Linked DNA regions of Caenorhabditis elegans. The protein of the gene in region 3 purifies or fractionates together with the protein of the main gene of each other region. This does not show direct contact. Each region holds a gene or a part of one and is shown on either strand. Other genes may lie near its edges.

What was found.
Region 1: the proteins of meg-1 (region 3) and pptr-1 purify together in Caenorhabditis elegans (affinity purification with western blotting, with the first as the bait; one study listed by BioGRID). This does not show direct contact.
Region 2: the proteins of meg-1 (region 3) and pptr-2 purify together in Caenorhabditis elegans (affinity purification with western blotting, with the first as the bait; one study listed by BioGRID). This does not show direct contact.
Region 4: the proteins of meg-1 (region 3) and pgl-1 purify together in Caenorhabditis elegans (affinity purification with western blotting, with the first as the bait; one study listed by BioGRID). This does not show direct contact.

Annotation. Positions count from the first base shown.
Region 1 is NC_003283.11:16,355,636-16,360,530, reverse strand, and holds the start of pptr-1 (Serine/threonine-protein phosphatase 2A regulatory subunit pptr-1), read right to left. Parts: upstream 3,011-4,895; 5' UTR 2,880-3,010; coding exon 2,719-2,879; intron 2,669-2,718; coding exon 2,598-2,668; intron 1,694-2,597; coding exon 1,395-1,693; intron 426-1,394; coding exon 202-425; intron 1-201. UniProt on the Caenorhabditis elegans protein: Probable regulatory subunit of serine/threonine-protein phosphatase let-92 which negatively regulates the insulin receptor signaling cascade composed of daf-2, age-1, akt-1, akt-2 and sgk-1 by promoting the dephosphorylation of akt-1 on 'Thr-350'.
Region 2 is NC_003283.11:11,026,985-11,032,779, reverse strand, and holds pptr-2 (Serine/threonine protein phosphatase 2A regulatory subunit), read left to right. Parts: upstream 1-1,955; coding exon 1,956-2,100; intron 2,101-2,271; coding exon of another isoform or gene 2,272-2,317; intron 2,318-2,859; exon of another isoform or gene 2,860-2,975; intron 2,976-2,995; exon of another isoform or gene 2,996-3,136; intron 3,137-3,392; coding exon 3,393-3,458; intron 3,459-3,497; coding exon of another isoform or gene 3,498-3,509; coding exon 3,510-3,602; intron 3,603-3,648; coding exon 3,649-3,962; intron 3,963-4,005; coding exon 4,006-5,067; intron 5,068-5,123; coding exon 5,124-5,267; downstream 5,268-5,795.
Region 3 is NC_003284.9:13,926,530-13,931,604, forward strand, and holds meg-1 (Protein meg-1), read right to left. Parts: upstream 3,106-5,075; 5' UTR 3,085-3,105; coding exon 2,946-3,084; intron 2,896-2,945; coding exon 1,813-2,895; intron 1,770-1,812; coding exon 1,529-1,769; intron 1,484-1,528; coding exon 1,205-1,483; intron 1,155-1,204; coding exon 1,014-1,154; intron 968-1,013; coding exon 940-967; 3' UTR 507-939; downstream 1-506. UniProt on the Caenorhabditis elegans protein: P granule component, which acts redundantly with P granule component meg-2 to promote P granule segregation during embryogenesis, and germ cell proliferation and differentiation in larval stages.
Region 4 is NC_003282.8:6,974,108-6,978,887, forward strand, and holds pgl-1 (Guanyl-specific ribonuclease pgl-1), read right to left. Parts: upstream 3,212-4,780; coding exon 3,104-3,211; intron 3,037-3,103; coding exon 2,905-3,036; intron 2,858-2,904; coding exon 2,711-2,857; intron 2,667-2,710; coding exon 2,308-2,666; intron 2,260-2,307; coding exon 1,919-2,259; intron 1,873-1,918; coding exon 1,730-1,872; intron 1,684-1,729; coding exon 1,512-1,683; intron 1,468-1,511; coding exon 944-1,467; intron 900-943; coding exon 510-899; downstream 1-509. Other genes in the region: him-3 (HORMA domain-containing protein), read left to right, coding at 3,419-3,620, 3,663-3,876, 3,923-4,095, 4,143-4,429. UniProt on the Caenorhabditis elegans protein: Guanyl-specific endoribonuclease which cleaves the phosphodiester bond in single-stranded RNA between the 3'-guanylic residue and the 5'-OH residue of adjacent nucleotide, resulting in the formation of a corresponding 2',3'-cyclic phosphate intermediate.

The DNA.
Region 1 (4,895 bases), on a different chromosome or scaffold from region 3:
CACAAGTTTTCGGTATTTTTCAAAGAAAAATCACAAATTTTCACCCAAAACACCACAAATATGACAATTTTAATATCAAAAATTGCAAAAATGGTCCAAATCCATGAATTTTTGCCGAAAATTGAGCTTTTCGTTGCAATTTTCTCATTTTTAAGCCATTTTTTAGCGATTTTTCAGCGAAAAAAAAAATCCAGTATTCACCTCAAAAACATATTATTGATATGTTTGCGAATAAAAGCCCGAAGGCCCAAAAATTTTCCGTAAATACGATGAAGAACCGTCTTCAAAAAGTCTCGTTCACGTGGATCCTCCGAATCGAATAAATCGAGCAGCTTGAGCACAAATCTCTGATCAATATACTTTTTACCGATTGAAGCTTGGAAATCTGGCGACTCAAGGAATCTCAGGAAGAGCTCGTAGACAAGCTGCAAAATTCGTTTTTTTTTTTTTGATTTTAGGGCAGTTTTTCCAATTTTCAGTGAATTTTTGCAGATTTCTGATGATTTTAAGCATCTTTTAGCTCCCAATTTGGCCAGAAAATGGCCTAAAAACTCAAATTTTGTCGACTTTTCTGAGTTTCAGGTGAAATTTGGCCATAGAAGACGGAATTTCATAACAAAATTCATTAAAAACCGCTCAAAATCTCGAAAAATTACATATTTTCAGCTGAAATTTCAAATTTTGCCAACTTTCCAGGTTTCACAGCGGTCGGAAATTGAGAAATTGGCGATTTAGGCTGACATTCGACGAATTTTCAGCATTTTTTGATGGCCCGGAGCCATTTTGGGTATAATAGAGCAAAAATTGATTTTTTTAAATAGGGGTCTTTTGTAATAAAAATAATCAAAAATTGCTGAAAATTCCGAAAAATGGTCGAATTTCAGCCTAAATCGCCAATTTTTTAATTTCCGACCGTTGTGACACCGGGAAAGTTGGCAAAATTTGAGATTTCAGCTGAAAATGTCATTTTATGAGCTGTTGAGCGATTTTTAATGAATTTTGTTATAAAATTCCGTCTTTCGATGCCTTTCTCGGTCCAAAAAGTGGCCAAATGCCATCTGTAACACGGAAAAGTTGAGAAAATCAGAGTTTTTAGGTCATTTTGTCAATATTTTTTGATGCACTGGGGCTATTTTTGGTATATTGGAGCAAAAAAACGCGGTTTTCTGCTATAATTTTCAGATTTTCGATGTTTTCAGGATGTATCGGGGTTTTTTTTTGCCAAAAGGAAAACTAATAATTTTCCAGTCGAAAAAGTCAATTTTTTGGACCAAAAATTAGTGAAAAATGCACTTTTTGCTCTATTTTTCTGAAAATTGCATTTTTTTTTCGATTTTTTTTTGTCATTTTTCGGCTTCCTGGAGCCATTTTCGGGTTTTTCTTGCATTTCCAACCTGTAAATGTGGCCACGAGACTTCTAAAGTCGGTTCATCCTCTTCTGGATCAAATTCACAATTTTCTGATGGTGGAAGTACACGGAATATATTCTTGGCAACCATTTTAATGACAGCCGGATAAATTGTCTCAACAATTGCTCCTTTTGTCGATGTAATGTGATCGATGAGCTCATTTAGAGCTGCTCTTTTGATTTCTTTGCATTTCAGTTGAGCTACTGGATCATAGAAATCGAATACGTGCTGACATTGGACGAGCTTTTCGATAACGAGAGCCGGTTGCTCATTTGCAGCAGTATCTGGAAAAATTGAAGTTTTTAAAGATTTTTAGCGGTAAAATTGATTTAAAAGGCTCAAAATAAATTCAAATTTCGATAAAAATGGCGAAAATCTCAAATTTTGCAGCAGCAATTGAATTTCTTTTAAAAAATTGATGATTTAGGCCTTTTTTCGGGGTTTTAGCAGGGATTTTCGGCAAATTTTCACTGAAAAACCCGACAATTTCGGCTCAAAAAAAAACCGACAATTTCGGCTCAAATATTCTGAAAAAAGGCTAAATTTGAAATCGGCAATTTTTGCAGATTTTAGAGATTTCAGACGGCGTTTTTCAGAATTTTAGTTCAAAATTTGGCTCAAAAAGACCAAATTTTCTTAGTTTTGGGTTCAAAATTATCCGATTTGTCAAAAAATCTTTTAAAAAAAAGACTAAAAACTCCATTTTTACGAATTTGCAGCGACCGAAAATCGATTTTCATCGAAATATTCCTTTATTTTGAAGATTTTCGCGATTTCTAACGCGTTTTCCCGTCGATGTAGGTAAATTTTCACGAAATAATGTAAAAATACAACATAAAAAAGTTGATTTACTTGAAAATAGTGTAAGTTTTCGTTAAAAACTTTAAAAAGAATCACAAATTTTGTATAAAAGTCGAAATTCACACTTTTGGGACAATTTCCGACAATTGTAGGCTATTTTCCAACTTTTCAACGAAAATTATCCTAATTTTCAGGCCAATCGAGCATTTTTCAACATTTTTTCACTAAAATTAGCATTTTTGGACATTTTCCCTGAATATTTGCCTGGAATCGACTGAAAACTGCCAAAATCTGCGGCAGGGTGGCAAAATGCGAGTTTTTCGCTATTTTTTACTCAATTCTTCGAAATTTTTTCGGTTTTTCATCTAGAAAATCCAAAAAAATCACCTTTGATGAGCGCCAATTGTACGAGTTCTTGAGCCGAATCAACATTATATCGGCTGCTGTTGTTGATGCGCCTGAAAATATCGGGAAAAATCGATAAAAATAAATTAAACCAGCCACTCACAATCGTCTAGAAGTTCCTCTTTTATTATGGAACGGATCGATTTTATCAACAAATTGATTAGCTGTCGCCGAGAGTTGTTGGCCACCGGTGGCGGCTCCCTGTGTCCGTGGCGGCGGAATTTGATGCGGAGCGCCCGTTAGACTGTGCCCGCTTCCGTGCATTTTTTTTTTTGATTAAAAGAATTTATCTTCTTCAACGTCTTCTCGCCCTGGTTGTGTTCGAGCGAAGTGTTGAAACTTCGTGTAGGAGGGAGCAGAGAAGCAGACGGCGAGAGAGAGATTTCTGGGCGCTTCTGCAAAATGTATATATATATATATTGATTTTTTATTGCGAGAGAGTGAGAGAGAGAGGGTTTTTATTAACGCGGAATGGTGTAAAAGAGATAGGCAGTGGTTATCGAAATTATGATAAGAAGAGAGTGAAAGTAAATGGCAATGTAGGTCGACAAGTGATCAGATTCGGGAATAAAATGTATTGAAATGGGTTTTATTTAATTTTATTCAATTTTTAACCGAAAAAAACGCAGGAAAAACGCTCAAATTGTAGACAAAACATCGATTTAACGTAAAAAACAAATTAAAAAACGAGAAAATCTCCGATTTACATTGGAGCGCACTTACTGATCGGTGGTTTGCCGCGTTTTTTCTAGTTTTTAAAGCTTCCTTGTGGTAAAAATTTGCAAAAATGCCTTCATTAAATGAACAAAGCAATGGGCAATGGGGCCAATACACAGAAAAAGTGAAATTTTGAGAACTATCACAAAATTGATTAAAAAAACCATTTAACAAGAAAAACTAGATTCAAATTCCCGCTCCGCAAATTTATCAATGGAGCACGCTTGCGAATTTGTTTTTTATTTGTTTTTTTAGATGGAAAAACTGAATTTCGTCGAAATTTAGTTGAAGTTTCAGAGTTTTCAGCGTAAAAACTGCTTTAAAAATTAAAAAAAAATAAAACAACCGAAAATTCTGTATTTCTTGCTGGTTTGCTCACTTTTAGCGATAACCGCGGGGAAAATTGATAAATTTTGAGAGAGGAGTGACAGTTTTTGCTGGTGTAAAAATGTGCCAAAATAAACGAATTTCGTTTAATTTTACCTATGGCGGTTGAAAATATCGATAAAACTGGGCATTTTTATCTAAAATCCAGCTGGAAAACTAGCTTTGCCAATTTTTCGTGTCGGAAAAAATTTTAATTTCCTACCGCTACGACATATAAATTTTTGGAAAAATCGAAAATTTTGTCTAATTTTTAAAAATTATCAAGTTTTTTCGAAATTTTGAACTTCGAGGTCTGAATTAAAAAAAAGAAGCCTCCATAAAAAATTTCGGGAAATTTAAGAGTAGTCTCATTACAAAATTCGTTTATTTGAGCGCATTTTGAGTCTAAAAAAGCAAAATCCTTTAATTTTTCATGCGCATGACCTACGCAGTTCGCGCATAAATTATATTTTATTCCCTACAAAAAACACGAACAATGTTCCAAATCGCTTAATAAATTCAGTGAAAAAGTTGAAAAAAAGAGACAAAAAACTCTCGCTCTCACACGAGGTATAAACGTCAACGTTTTGTTGTCTTCTCTCACTCTGCCCAGCCACAGAGAGAGTTAGTTGATCGAGAGAAAAAAGACAATCTCTCACCCGATGAGCGCCGTTTGTGAGCGGCGCGAGCAGAGTTCGTGTGCATTCCGGAGTGCACAGTGATGCAGACACTGAGAAGACGTCGAGAGACGCAGACACGTCGTGCGCACTCGCGCACGCATTTGCACACGGAAAGGCCGGAGAGTGTGGGAGACCGAGAGAGAGAGAGAGAGAAGTAAAGGAATAATATACGCACACAGGCCATCACAGGCCACTGGAGACGACGGAGACGTGAAGAAAATGAAGAGGAGGGGCAGTTTATGGGGGTGGAAGTAAATACGGGGAGAAAAAGTGAGAATTTGCACAACTTTCAGATGAATAGAAAAAGCTTAATTAAAACGCAAACTTCTGAAACTTTTACCTAAAGGCGCAGAGGCTTAGTGGGATGGGTCTCGCCGCGAAAGCAAAGTTTATAGTAGCACTGATATCTAAAAAATGGAAGAAATTACACAAAAAATTAGCCGAGAAATAATTGATTGAAAATTAGAGAAATGACTTAAAATTATTTTTAAAAAGGCTTTTTATACGGAACAAAAGT
Region 2 (5,795 bases), on a different chromosome or scaffold from region 3:
CGGGTCATCATGGAAATATTCCAATAGACTATTGAAGACGGATGAGCATTATTTCCGCACGTAAGGGACTTTGGGATTTTACGCTGGTTCAATGCCATGCATATACTCACAATAGCCAATTCCTTTGTGCTCTTTGATTTTCAAAACAGAAATATGATGCCAATACTGGCGCCCAGACCCCGGGACAAGATTTCATTTCTTCAACTAGTTTCACCCTCCGTCATCACGTGTCAGTTTTTAACGATTTCTAACAAAAATGTATGTTTTTGTGTCTAGGAACGGCAATGTTGAATATTTTGTTTTTCTAGAGTCTTACTTGTTTCAGCTTCGATGAAACCCGTTTTTTTAAATATAATTGAAAAGTGGATAAAAATTGGTTCATTATAATTAGAGATAGTTTAAAACAATACCCTAAAAATCCCAACAGTTAGAAGGGACTTATTCATTAATTAGTTGCTGGCTAAGTTTTCTATTTATATAATTACTCTCGAAATTTATCAATCGATTCTTGGACTTTTTTGTTCCGCAGACGCCGGCGGAGTTTACAAGCGTACGATGTGGTTCAACTTTTAAAGCTTTATAAATGGGGCATGTATGAATATTTCGAATTCTAAATCTATAATATTAAAACACAAACGCATCTAAATTATTGGTGTCGATAAGTATTTTTCAAGCGGTGAATCATCTGTGTTCACACAAATAACCAGATAAAAATGAATAAAAACATTTTAAGCTTGTTTAGAAAATTAATTAGTTTAAAACTTGATTCAAGACGGCACGATGCTTCTGACCGTTTTTATCCTTTCTAATTTATTTTTTTTATCGTATTACTTGCAATGGCATCACTTGATCACTGAACCTTCAAGGAAAAATAGAATGTTAAATTCAGAAAAAGTCTTAAATCTAGAAAAAAAAAACTCGGTGCACAAAAGTACATCAATTTTTTGTCTGTGATCAGCTACAATTCATTGCATATTCGTATAGAATATATTAAAAAAAGTTCCTAGATTTATTACTCGTTTTTTCACCAGTTATTTCTGCTTTCTTACGAAAACGCCTTTTCTCATTTTGCTTGTCAAAAAACACGCGATATGTGAGCCACAACAGAATTCTAATTGCTTGTTTCTATGTTGGGGGCACCACACAATTTCACCTGTTTTTCAGCAATCCAGCACGACCGCTATTTTCTTTGCTTCATGGGTTCACTTTTGGCAAACCCATAAAATATTTCGTATACTTATATGTCAAGTATTTGTATCTTACGAGTAAGACTGCCAAATTCTTCCTGCTCTCTTTTTTTCATCAGAATCTGATCCTTGACATCGTCTACTCTTTTACTCTCAAAAGAGCAGCAGTAATTGGAAATTGAAGAGGATGAAGCTCGATCTTTAAGGAAAAAACGAGAGAAAAGAAGTGGGCTGGTTAATCGAAAATTGCGCTGAAAAAGCAGAAGACGAGCTGTAGGAAAAAACGACAAAGCGTGGGAAGAGGGACGGCGCCGTTTGCTCCGCGCTTTTTATTTTTCGTCTTCCGATTTCCGAAGTGACGATGGTTTTTAAGTAAAGACAGATGATTTTTCTCATTCATGTAGTGATGTCATTTTTTGTTAGTTAGAGCCACATGGAATTCCATGGTTTTGCATTCCATTAATTCCTCTCCTACAGTTAATCATACTGCTTGAGATTGCATTTATTACATAGGTTACTGTAGTTTTCTAAAAAACAGATTTGGGTGCATATGTGCATGTTATCATGTGTGTTCTCAGTTTTTCCCCGTTGCTTTGAAAACATAATATCTCTTGTCAACAACGTTTTTCCACTTTTGAAACAATGAAAAATGGTCACTTGCTCAGTTTGTTGTCCCTTGTATTCTCTTTTTAATTTTTTAAAGGTCTCTTCATACTTTTATTGAATTTTTCATGTTGTTAATTTCAGGCGGTCGGCTCCGCATCCGCAATGTTGAGATCAAAGAAGAAGGACAAGGAAAATGGGAAATCAGAGAAAAAGGACAAAGAGAAGGATAAGAAATCAATGAAAGATGACGGTGCTGGAAGCAGTAAGGCATCTACAATTCCTACGATCCGAACAGAAGATGTTGGAGGTAAATTAATGTTTTGATTATTCGGGAAAGATGATAACACAAAATTTTAAAAAAGTCAATTTCAATAAAATCTCACGTGAATCTATATTCTTCCACGGTTCTCCGAGAGCATAATTTTTCATCATTTCTTTCTAACCATCGAGTAATTTCAACCATCAACCAAAGATAGCAATGAATAAAATGCCACAGAGATCAAAGAAAAGACGACAGAAAACGAGTAAGTAGTCTAAATTATTTGAGAACATTTAGGAGTAAGAGTGGTTCCTATCGTAGAGTTTTGAGAATTCTTCGAAACGAGCGGAGATCGTTGTGAGACCCTGTGAAGACAATACAGCGAGCCTATAAAGTTTAGATTACGGCGTGTCGAATTTTATCATGAAAACATATACTATTCGGAAACAAAAACAACATGATTCGAGATTAAGGTTTTGATTAGAGTTTTCTTCAGTAAATAATTTTTGAAGCTGTCCTCCCTTTCAGCATCTTATAGTTCTCGAGGTAGGCAGGTTTTTGACCACTTGCATTTTTTTGAATAACTGAAATGGATGCAAAGTATAAATAAGTAGAAATGTATCGGATCTGAAATCAAATGCACTACATTTTATGAAGATATTGAGTGAAAATATTTATCAGTTAGATGGGGGAGGAACAAGCCATCCAACCAACAACAAGAAATCTGTGAGCCCTCAAGGCACACTATTGATGTCCAACTTTTCCACAAACTCCTTCAAACTCTTCTTCTTTTTGCCCCCCCCCCCCCATTTTCTTTATTTCTCACAGAAAAAACGACCTTCTTTCTTCTCTGCGCCTGTCTTGCTCCTTTAGATTTCTTTTCTATCATCAATTTACCCTACTCTTCTTCTATTTCTCGCGTTATTTTGTATCACGGAAGAAGGTATTAGAAATAATTCGAATAGGATAGTTGGAACGGATTAGGACTCCAGCTCAATTAGTTTGATTGTGTTTTTTTGGTTTGTTACGCCTTTCCTGTAGTCTTTTTGCAGCGCATACCAAAGAAAAAAACATTTTAGTGTTCTGGAGAAAATATTATTTTGTTCATAGTAGATATTTTCTTACAAACGCTTAGACATTTCGCTATTTCCCCAACTTCACGAAACAACTTTTGTAGTGTACATTTGAATTTGAATTTCCCGCGTAAATGCTCGACGAGGCCGCAGAAATCGAAAATGGGATAGTTAGTCCACCACTAGTGTACTCCTCTCGGATAAATTTTTTTTTGAATCACAATCATTGATTTTTCCATTTTCGGCCCTCATATTTATCATTTCTAGGAGATATGATTCCTGCAGATGCACCACCACCAACAAATATTGGCCGAACAAACACGTACGGAGGAGGTTAGTGTTTAAACGAAGACTAATTAACTATAGAGACAGATTTAATTTCAGGGCCAGTGATACCGCGAAGAGAGCGCCGCCAATCAAGTAGCATGTTCAACATTTCACAAAACAGAGAGCTGCAAAGACTTCCAGCTATCAAAGGTAATAATGTTTTTTTTAATTACCGTATTGATAAACTCGTTTTTAGATGCGGATCCGAGCGAGAGAGAAACACTGTTCATTCAAAAACTTCGACAATGCTGCGTTGTTTTTGACTTTGCCAATGATGCTCTCAGCGATTTAAAATTCAAAGAAGTCAAACGGGCAGCTCTAAATGAACTCGTCGACCACGTTTCCGGAGCTCCAAAAGGATCGCTATCTGATGCTGTCTATCCAGAAGCTATCGGCATGTTCTCCACTAATCTTTTCCGTCCTTTGAGCCCACCGACCAATCCAATTGGTGCTGAATTTGACCCCGATGAAGACGAACCAACATTAGAAGCTGCCTGGCCACATCTGCAGGTAATATTTATTTTCTGCTCTTATTTAAAGTAAATATTTTCAGCTCGTCTACGAGTTTTTCCTGAGATTCCTGGAGTGCCCCGATTTTCAATCTCAAGTTGCAAAACGTTACATTGATCAAAATTTCATTCTTCGTCTTCTCATGATTATGGACAGTGAAGATCCACGTGAACGTGACTTTCTGAAGACAACTTTACATCGAATTTATGGAAAGTTCCTCGGACATCGTGCTTACATTCGGAAGCAAATCAACAACATTTTCTACTCGTTCATCTACGAAACTGAGAGGCACAACGGGATTGCTGAATTACTCGAGATTCTAGGTAGCATTATCAATGGATTCGCTCTTCCCTTGAAAGAGGAACACAAAACTTTCTTGCTCCGAGTTCTTCTTCCGCTACACAAGGTCAAATCATTATCTGTATATCATCCTCAACTCGCGTACTGTGTCGTACAGTTCATTGAAAAAGACTCATCACTGACAGAGCCTGTAATCAGTGGGATGCTACGCTTCTGGCCAAAACAACATAGTCCCAAGGAAGTGATGTTCCTGAATGAATTGGAAGAAGTCCTCGATGTGATAGAGCCGAATGAGTTCCAAAAAATCATGACTCCATTGTTCTCACAAATTGCTCGCTGTGTCAGCAGTCCACACTTCCAAGTTGCCGAACGAGCTCTCTACTATTGGAATAATGAATATGTGATGTCATTAGTAGCGGACAATGCTCGTGTGATAATTCCAATAATGTTCCCTGTTCTTTTCAAAAACAGCAAGTCACATTGGAATAAAACGATTCATGGACTTATCTACAACGCCCTCAAGATGTTCATGGAAATGAATCAAAAACTGTTTGACGAGTGTTCCCAAGCTTATCAGAAAGATCGAGTTCAAGAAAAGACATTGAATGAAGAAAAAGAACGCATCTGGAACAATATTGAGAAACAGGCAATGGGAAACCCGCAATATGTTGAAGTTAAAGCACTATTTGCTCGATTTAATCCAGATGAAATCATCAGCTCGCGTCAGCAGAATGGAGTTGACGAGAATATGAAGACTTCAACTGTGCTTAGCAAGGATGAAATTCTGAAAAATGCTGTAGGAGTGGTAAGTTACAAAAACCTAGAAATATTTTTTTTTTGTACAATAACGAATCATTACAGAGCTCGATGAAAAACGATATGGATTTCGGACCCAACCACAAACAATCCGATTTCCCTCCAGATGAGCAAACGACGAGAGCTTTAGGCGAGTACAAGCGTCACGATCCATTTTTGAAGAAAGTGACTAGCACCGACGAACAGTGATGCAGAAGACTTCAACGGGTGCCAATTTCTCCATGTTGTGCCGGGTTTATTATACGATGATTCGACTTCCTTACCCAGTTTCCGTTCCTTTCTTAAAATATTGACCATTCCATGACCCTTATCACCGTTTTATTGCTCTCCAAAATTGCCCTTAATCACATCTATGTTTGCGTACCTGTAAATATTTCGAAACTTATTTCAGTTTTATCAATATGCACCATAAATTCCATCTCTCCTCACCATCATCGCAAATCCAAATGCGACTTTTCATTGTGTAATAATTTCCCCCATTTTGGTAGTGATTTGGATTTAGATGTTATAAATGAATCGAGAAGCCATGTGAAATACATTAAAATCTGCATAGGAATAATCATGGGAATATATATTAGGCAGAAGGTTTACGAGGGGTTTGGCTCATTTCATCCAAATCCTTCTTTATATGTTCTTTTTCGAATGCTAACCCCACTCTTTGCACATCAATATGCACTTATGTATGAAATACACGAAATGAGACGAAGGAGCATTATA
Region 3 (5,075 bases):
TTGTAGGGATTTCAAGAAAAAATTGCATAGTTCAGAGTTTCTCAAAATAAAATTCTCTGAAGTCTTATTGGTGTGCAATTTTCTGCTGTTGAACTATTTAAAACAGTGCTGGCCAATACTCGCTTTCAATTTTTCGGCGACTATTTAGACTTTTCCAATAAGTATGCTCCAAAAGCTATACGTTTCAGCAAGAAACTTTTAACTAAAAAAGTGATCCACACGTTTTTATCTACTTAACCTAGTTAAATACGAGCATTCGTTGATCAAATGAGGTCTTAGGTTGATCACTTGAAAAATATAAAAATGCACCGAATCAAGCCACATCATAATTGAACTTTACAAGTTTGTCCTACCATTAAACCTGAACTCGTTTTCTCAATATCTTCATCATGTGAAAAACGGTATGACTTTTAAAATAAACCAAAATAATTCAATGGGTATTTGTTTTTGAAAGATATATGTTTGGATTAGTAATTTCCAGTTTTTACAACAAATTTCAAACATTTAGAACAAAATATTTTTATCGAAATAAACAACAATAGTCGGTGAAATTGTACTGGACAGTGACTGGAAAACCGGTAAGACTGAAACTGAGCACTATGAGATACAAGTACAATACAAGATGGTTGAAGAAAATCACAGGAAAAAGAATTTCTAATCGTGAAATTGGTTAGTGTGGTAGAAATAGAGAGTGTTATGGTACAAAATTGGGTAATAAGATTGATGTTGGCAGGCGAGCCAAAAGTCAAAATTAGTTGCTGGGAGGTTTCTACTATGAGATACAAATACAGCACAAGATGGGTTGATGGTTGATGAAAATCACAGGAAAATATAATTTGTAATTGTGAAATTGGTTAGTATGGTAAAAATAGAATTGTTATGGTACAAAATGGCAGCACAGTAAGTGTGTTCTTGTAGGCGAACCAATTGTCCAACGTCTCATTCATTGCTTGGCAATTCCTTGTCACTGAAAAAAAAATTGCTTGTTATTTATATAAGTTCACAAGTCTCACCTTTGCTTGTCCGATTCTTGTGGCTCAGCTTGTTTCAAATCACTTTCAGAATGAACATTCTTGGTGCAATCAGGAGCTTCGTCATCTTGTTGGTGGAGGAAGGATTGAGACATGTAGCCTTTCACAGAGCTGGCAATATCACTGAAAAGAAATAATAGTACATCGGAATTCGTTTATTATGGTTAACATACCTTGAAGTGCTTGGCTCAGGCGAAAAGTTGATCTTTTCATCAAGCATACGAACAAAATTATCCATGTCCATTGTGCTTCGCTTTTTGATGCCACTGTATCTAATCATCTTCTCAAAGGATGGTGTTTTGGGCTTAGTTGAAGCTGCTGGAACTGGCCCGGCATGACTTTGTGAAGAATCCAAATTCTCATCAAGTGTCTCCAAGGTATTATCAAGACTGGCAGCGGGACGAATGTACATGGATCGGCTTTTGGATGGCTGTGAAGTCGAAGCATCCTCTCTGAAAAAAGTAGGATAGAAAACAAACAACAGGCAGAGTATGCACCTGGCAACATCCGAAACCTCAGCCGCAGTTGGAAGAGTTTGATTGAGAACATCCGATGAGTTTGAGGCTTTGGCAACTGAACTGTTGAGAGCAGCAAACTTGGCGTTGAAATCAATAATCCACTGAATAATGTTGATGTTGGCTCCACGATTCTGCATTTGCATCGTCTTCCGCCAGTAGTCGTAGAGCATCGGCTTCAGTGTTTTTGCCAGCTTCAGCAACTGATGCTTGGGAGCGTCACCTAAAATGATTTTAAATCACATAAACACACAAATTCCACTTACTGAAAGTGTCTGCAGCACCATTTGGAAGGATTCCCGGAAGCAAGTAGTTGTACAATTGTCTTCCAAATTGTTCAAAATCTGGAGTCTCCAAGAAAGCTTCCTCTTCCTTTGTCAGAGTTGGCAAATGGGGTGCAGGGCGTGATGGGCGTTGATCCACGTGGTTGTATTGGTTCCTCGAGCTGTGATTCATAGAAGTGTTGGAGTGAGCTGGTCTGGAACTCATTGTAACTTGAGAGCTCCCTTGCGCCATCTGGAAGCTTTCCGACAGATTAGGCAACTGAGGTGCAGGGCCTGATGAGCTTTGATTCATTTGGAACTGTTGATTCCCGGAGCCGTGATTCATGGATAAATTAAATAGACCTGGCAGAGAACTCATTGGAACTTGAGCGTTTGTATGTGGCATCTGGAAGGTATGATCTCTTAAACGGTTATTCATATTCATCGCTTGAGGATCTGCATTTTGAGTATTCGGCCGATGAGCTATTTGTGGAGCTGGAAAACCGGCATTTTGAAGACCGTAAGCTATATTTGGAGCCGGATATCCTCGTCCTTGAGCCATTTGTGAAGACTGATTGTATTGGTCGAGGAGTGCCTGATTGTATTGGTCAAGGAGTGTTGGTGCTAATGACTGGTTCAGTGCAGAATAGCTTTGGTTGTGTCCCATGGCAGTAGGTGCTCTCTGCTCCAAGAAATTGCCGTTCGCGACATCAGCGGCCAGTCTTATCCCGGTTCCAACAGCGTTTTGTCCAGTGGATCCCAAACCAGTGTAAATTCCAGTGTGATCGGAAAGAACTCGATGATCTTGGTCTCCTCCTCGCAAGTTGCCAAAAACGCTAAACGAAGTGTTCAGGTTATTTCCAACTGCTGAACCATTCAGGAAACTCGCATTCCTATTGTCCCTTTCCTGCACAATTGTATCAAAATGGTTAACTCTTTGTTGTGCCAACGCAGAGAAATTGGAGAGAACATTTGGATCATCGGCAAGAGACGTGTTTCCAGAGAAGCACACCCAAGAATTCTCAACATTATTTGAGCCATTGAGCATGTTTGTCCAATGACGTTGCTGCTGGTTTTGAGCTGAGCCTGAAAAAAAACCAGTTTAATAAATCTATTGAATTTTAATTTTTTTTTACCTCCAATACTACGCATGTTGCCCGAAGAAAACGGTCCGTGATGATTCCCGATTCTCATTCCTTCTTGGGACTGCTCACGTCGGTGATATCCTTGCGGTGGGAAATTCCCATTTGAAGAAAAATGACCACGATTATCCATCGCCGCTCAAGAAATCAATCTCTAAAAATGGAATTATTGTGGAAAAATTACAAGAATTTGGCTAAAAACAAAAAAAAAATTCAACAGAAAATAAAAGATTTCGCAATAACTGCAGATGAAAAAGAGAGCGGACCACTGTCCACCAGTAATGGTACGAAGACTGAATGAAATGATATGAAATGAGAGAAGAGAGGGAAGAGACGCGCAGCATGACGAAACGTGGCGGCGCGCAGACAAAACAATACAAAAAAGAGCGGGCAGGTGTAGGTCAAAACAAATTTTGTGTGGATCTACTATTTTGCTCTTTAAGAATCACGCTAGAAATACGCAAATAAAACTTTGAATTTGGACAATAAATGAGAAAAAAAGTACTATAAAAATTTTTGTCCATTCTCGTAAATTAATAGATAAATCGGGAAGCACCTTTGCACGAAAGACTGATAAAGATAAAGAATAAAAAAGCAAACAATTATTTTTATATTTTGATTAAAACTAAAAAAAAACCTTTTAATGATTTTTGTCTAAAAGTCAGAAAACTTATCAATGCCGAATAAATTTGGTTGGGCCACTGCAGTCTAAAAACAATCCTCATTTTTGATAATTTTTGTAAGTTTTTATAATTTCAATACATGTTCGTTATAGCTACCCGCCTTTAACTTTTTATATAACACATAATTTTTTAAAAGTTATTTCACTACAAATTCACGTTTATCACACAAAAAAGATCAGAGTTTGGTAACAATATATTTAAAAACATTTGTTTCAAAATCGATGGTATGAAGCAAACGTATCAGTATTCAAAATAGTCATGTACATAAATTAAAATTTCTGGCTTTTTCAGAAGATTGGTTGAATGTAACCAAGCTACACATTATCCCTAGAACGTCGTCTTGATTCTGAAAAAAATCCCAATCATAAATTTCGGGAGTATATGAATTCTTATGATTTTATTTATGCTTTGTTCAAATGTATATCTAAGATCAATCATTTTTCGCTACTAAATCATGAATTGCAAGTTTTCAAAGTTATTCAGAAATGTGATTCTTTTTTATTTAATTTTGTTTATACTTTTCTAGCATCAGCACTCTTCTCAACAATAATTGATGTACTCTTAATGACAGAATTCTCCTGTCATAGTATTTGTTTCTCTCCGTGATTATCACCCGTGCTTCATTTTTCAGTTGCTCCTAGCAACTCATACTATCCCAAGGGAACTGAAAAAAGCGGGGCACTGCCGAGCTTCACATCTATGGTAGCGCTGATTTCCTCATTCCATTGCCCAAAATGATGTTGGCTATATGCTTCGGTATATTAATCTCATTCATGGATACTTTTGGGTTCATCGCTACCTTATTGTACCTTATGGTTGCAATCAAGTGTAACGGAATCTTCTATGTTCCACATCTCGTGAGATACTTTTTTCTCATCAATGTAAGTCAATTTCGTCTGATTCCTCAAACAGTAATAAACATAGTTTAGACCCTGATCATCACAATCAATTCGGTAGTTCTTTCAAAATTTGGTATCATCTGTGGCAATTTTGAATGGTTTGAGGAAGTTGTGTTTGCTCCAAACTTCCACTCATCAGCTCTTAACATTCTCCTCCGCGTCTCCAACTTCCTTTTCCATGCGATTTCAACTCTTCAAATCATCGTCATATCGTTCATGATCTTCATGCGATTGAAAGCTAAATACGATCGTGTTCCTGTGAGTAGTGCTGTTGGTCAAAACTTGATTGACGTGTCATCAAAAAAAAACACCATATTTTAACCAATTACAGGTAGTTTCCGACTACCGAATCCTGCAGATAATGGTTGTATTTTCAGTTGCGTCTGCATCTCCACTACTTTTTTCACCAGTGGAGTTCGAGCTTGTTTGGGACCAATTCTACTTTGTCACCAGTAAAACTGTGAGATACATTAACACGATTTATATGTATTCTCTTGAGTAAAACTTTTCAGCCGATCTCCGTGATTCCTCCTATCATCATC
Region 4 (4,780 bases), on a different chromosome or scaffold from region 3:
GCTCTGAAAATTAGTATTGCACTCCCTAATAGTCTTGCATTCCCTATTAGTATTGCAAGCGGGAAGACCATCGAAAAATAGTATTGCAGCCATATTAATAGAAGAAATACGGTATTTGTTATGTTCGAATGCAGATGTCTCATAACGATTTACAACTCTAATATGCGTAAATGTATGATAAGATCAGTTGAAATTGTATAAGAATGCATGCAGTGCCACCTGTTAATTTTATGATCCACCAATCATTCGGCACCGTCGATTCAGACATCACTTTTCTCATCAAGCCGCAGAAAGAGATATACGTGTAATTAATTGAGTTAATTTCTTGCAACAATCTAGTTCAAACATTTACCGGGAACAAGGAAAAACAGGTTGAATAAATAATAAATGACAGTCAAGGTTTTAGGGATTTTACAACAAGATTGTTAGAATAAATAATGTGCGTAAAACGTGTAAGTATACAAGAAGTGTATACTTAAAAAACAAATTAAACATTCAATAGTTGGAGTTTAGAAACCTCCGCGTCCACCACGACCCCCGTAACCACCACGTCCACGATCTCCGCCGTATCCACCTCGTCCTCCGCGGTCTCCCCCGCCGTATCCACCTCTACCTCCACGATCTCCGCCGTATCCACCTCTGCCTCCACGGTCTCCACCGCCATATCCTCCGCGACCACCTCCTCCTCCATAAGCTGAACTGGTGGGAGCAAATTGACCGAATCCTTTTGCAACTTTGGCTTCCCCAAATCCACTGACTTTGTATTGATTAGTCGGGGCAGGAAGAGGCATTGGAGTAGCGTCGCCTGACCCCCATGCAGTTTCAGCACGAGCTTGTGGTTGTGGTGTAGAATCTTTGTCAGCAACTGTGGTTTCCTCTTCATCTATCTGCTGCATGCCCTGAAAGAAATATTTTTATAATTCTGAAACGATGAACGCGATACCGGTGGCAGAGCTACTGATTTCGTTGGAGAATCCCAGCCATCGGTGGAAAAACTTGGCGCTACTTCTGGCGAAGCACTTGAAGAAGTATCTTGATTGGCATCCGAAGCCATCTCGATCTCGTTAACTGTTTGCTGTTGTTGTGCATCGTTAACCTTTTCTGGGACAGGATCGACCGCTTTTACAGTAACACCTTCTCCAATGTTTCTTGATGAGCTTAGCAAAGTCGAAGAATCCACTTCGTCACAAGAAATCTCCTGAAGACTGAGTGAATCCTTTGAATCGACAAGTAACCCGGAAGAATTGGTATCACTGAGACCGTTGAGAACTTGAGCTTTAGTATTTACGCTGTATGTGTTGTGAACCGTCGTCATTTCCTCTTTCGTGTAGGCGGAATCCTGCTGTTGGGAAGTGGATGGTTGCACATTGCTCTTTCTGCCACTTGGTGTATCGGACAAACAACACTTCTCCAGTGATTCAACAATTCGAGTGACATGAGTCTTCGAGTTGATTCCTTGAACAAATTCTGAAATTAAAAAGTTAACAGGAGATAAAAAAAGGAATATTCACTCTTGAAGCTATCGACGAGAAGATTTTTTGAAGTGGAATCCAAGAAACGAAGCTCGCCCAGCGCTTCAGTCTCATTCTCGGATCCGTAAAACTCTGTAAGCCACAGTGCAAACTGTAGAGCTTTATTCACATTATCGATCACCGCATCATTGTTTAGTGGACTCTGAGGAATCTGAAAAACGGTCATGTAAGTAATGTTTATAGAATCATTAACTCACCAGTGGAACGGGCTTATCGAAGCATTGCTCTAGAATTGAGACTTGGAACTTCTTGATAAGTTCCGCAATGGCTCGTCTTTTCCAGGCGCTCTCCAAGTCTTTCGCGACTCCAACAACATCCCAATCCTCAAAAGACTTCTTAGCTGAAATATTTAGATTTTAAAAGTAAACAAAGACGAAAATACTAACATCCTAAAAGAACTTGGATGATGTGATTGCCGAGGAACACCGCACTCTTGTAGACACTTCTTTGCAATCCTGGAAAGACTTCCGCTCTGACACTCGTAGGAATCCCAGAGAGGATTTTCTTGGAAACCTCGCGCTTTCCATCTGCAAGTGAACGAACGATAAGGAAAAAGAGCTGATATCCGAGTTGAGATCTCAAGACAAGTGACTCGTCTCCTTCATTTTTACTCGCTTCCTCGAAAAGTTGAGCGATATGGTTCACAACTTTCCCAACAGACTCTTCGAGTGGATCCATGAGGAGACTAATGAATGGATCGGCAGGTTCAGATTTCGGACCATCCAACCTAAATTGAAAAAAAAAATCGAATTATTTTGAAAAGGACAACAATTACATCAACTGTTTCAACAACGGCTTGCAGCTATCAAATGCGTTGACGACGTTATCACGGATAATGTCGACCTCGTCGCTAGTCTCCTCAGAGATAAGTCCGAGGATTTTAGTTAGGACATAAACATCAAAGTCCAGATCCAGTTGGCTGACAAGTTCCGTGAGCTCAACAAACTTTTCGGCGGCATCATCGATTGCGATTACTTTGAGAAGAGCTTGAAGAATCTTAGCGTCTTCAGTCTTCTTCAGCTTGGCCTTACGGGCGAGCATTCCGAGCTTCTTGTCGTCATCGATGACAGAAACCAGATCATGAGCATGTCCCAATCCTGACAATTTCTCAGCAGCAGCATCAAATTTCGGACGCTAAAACGTTATAATTGATTACAATAAGTTTAATTCACACTTACAAATTTATCTCCGAGAAGAAGACAAACGTCCATGCCAGCAGCAATAACGGCAGCGTTAGCGTCGTTCGGCAAGATCATCTCCAAAATGTCTTCGTCTCCAGGAGCGTCTTTGGAAGCTCCCAACACGAAAGCAGCCAACTTATTGGCCTGAAATTGAATAATAGAAAATCGGTCTTTAAATATTATAGTCCAACCTGAGATGTATTGTTGAACAGTTCTTCGTCATTCTTCGTGATGTAGTGGGCCAAATTTGGGAAAAAGTAGGATCTCAGCCCACCGAAATCCACAATTTCTCGCTTGTTAGCCTCCATGTGAAATGGATGAAACTGAAATAAATATTTAAATTTTTAAAAAATTTTTCGAGATTAGAATTCAAAAAAACGCAAAATTTACCCAAAAAAGTAAGAAAACGGAAAAGAAAATTGGGACGAGATCGAAATTGCAACTTCCGCGTTCGCGTCGAGTTGTTCGTTTCGAGACCCGTAGATCTGAAACTTCCATGCGCCTTTAATAATTTCTAAGTTTCTGAACTATTTCCAGATTTATTTTACCTATTTTCTAGTTTTTTTTTTCAAATCAAAATATGTTTAATCAATGCGGGGTTTTATAATTAAATAATATGTTTAACTTGTTATAGATTTTATAGATATTATTTTTTAAACATTTTAATTTGTTTCACGATGATATTTCAGTAATTGTAGGTTTGCGATGGCGACGAAAGAGCAGATTGTTGAGCACCGCGAGTCTGAAATTCCTATAGCCAGCCAGTGGAAGGCCACGTTTCCCGTTGATCTAGAGATTGAAAAAAATTCTGAAATGTTTGCGCTTCGCTACATAAAATGTGCTTCGGCCTTCATTCTCGATCGCCGTGGCATTTTGGACGAAAAATGCTTCAAAACTCGAACAATAGGTATGGCTTATTTTACAATGTATCACAAATATTTTTATACAGATAAACTGTTGGTCACCGCATTCCAGAGCAGTGTTCCTGCCGCAAAGCGTGTGTCTTCAACATTCGACGGATTGAGAGATGCGATTCAACAAGGCTATTTGCGAGAGTTCGCAATCGTGTTCTACAAGAAGCCAAACGAGGAAGACATTAATGAAGTGTTTGCGTTCAGGTTTGCTTATGGAGATGAAGGAGAGATTTTCGTATCTCTAAATAAGTAAGCTGCTGGTCTTATTCAATTATTCGTTTTCAATTGTTTTCAGCGGAATCGACACGAACGAAAGCAGTCAAGAACTGTTACAGGCGAAATTCGTTGATACCGACAACACGAAACAAATGTTTGCAAGCACAATCAAGAAACTTCACCGGTGTATCAAGAAAATGGAGCCGCTTCCTCAAGGGTCCGACGCGAGTTTCCGTGTTTCGTACACTGAAAGTAGGTTACATTCACAGCTTTAGTCTATTTCTAACTGTTATTTTAAGAAGCTCCAAAAGACTATACACCCGAAGGCTATCTGCTGAGTCCTATGTTCTATACGCTGAATCAGGATATTAGGAAAGCATCTATTGGAATCGTGTGTGGCGGTCATCACAAAATTCAAATGCTTGCTGCTTCACAATACTTGAAGCAAGACTTCGATCTGGATAAAACGACCACACTCAATCCAAATATGTCAATCATGGCAAACCAATCGAAAAGGAAGGGACGAATTTCCAGAGATTCCCCTTACGGTCTCAGTCAGGGCATTACGAAGAAGAATAAGGACTAGTCGAAAAGTTTTCACTCATGTGCAATGTTTCTCTTGTTTTATATTTTTAGCCATTGTTTTTATAATTTCATTGATTGTCGTGCTTTTGTCTTCTCTTGTGTGATATCAATCTATCTTCTTCACGTATAGTTTCATCTGTTTGATTGAGTTATTTTTCTTTCACTGTAAGTCTGGTGTTTCGTAGATTTAGAAAAAAGTAGCGTAATAAATTATTTTGAAATGGACCAAACATTCAAATCCAGTTCAGATAAATTTATTTCATTGAAGCAGTGTTGGAATTCGGACAAATGAGAAGTGAATATTCATTTGAAATAAGTTTTACATTACTTGCACTGTTGGCTGGGTGTTAAA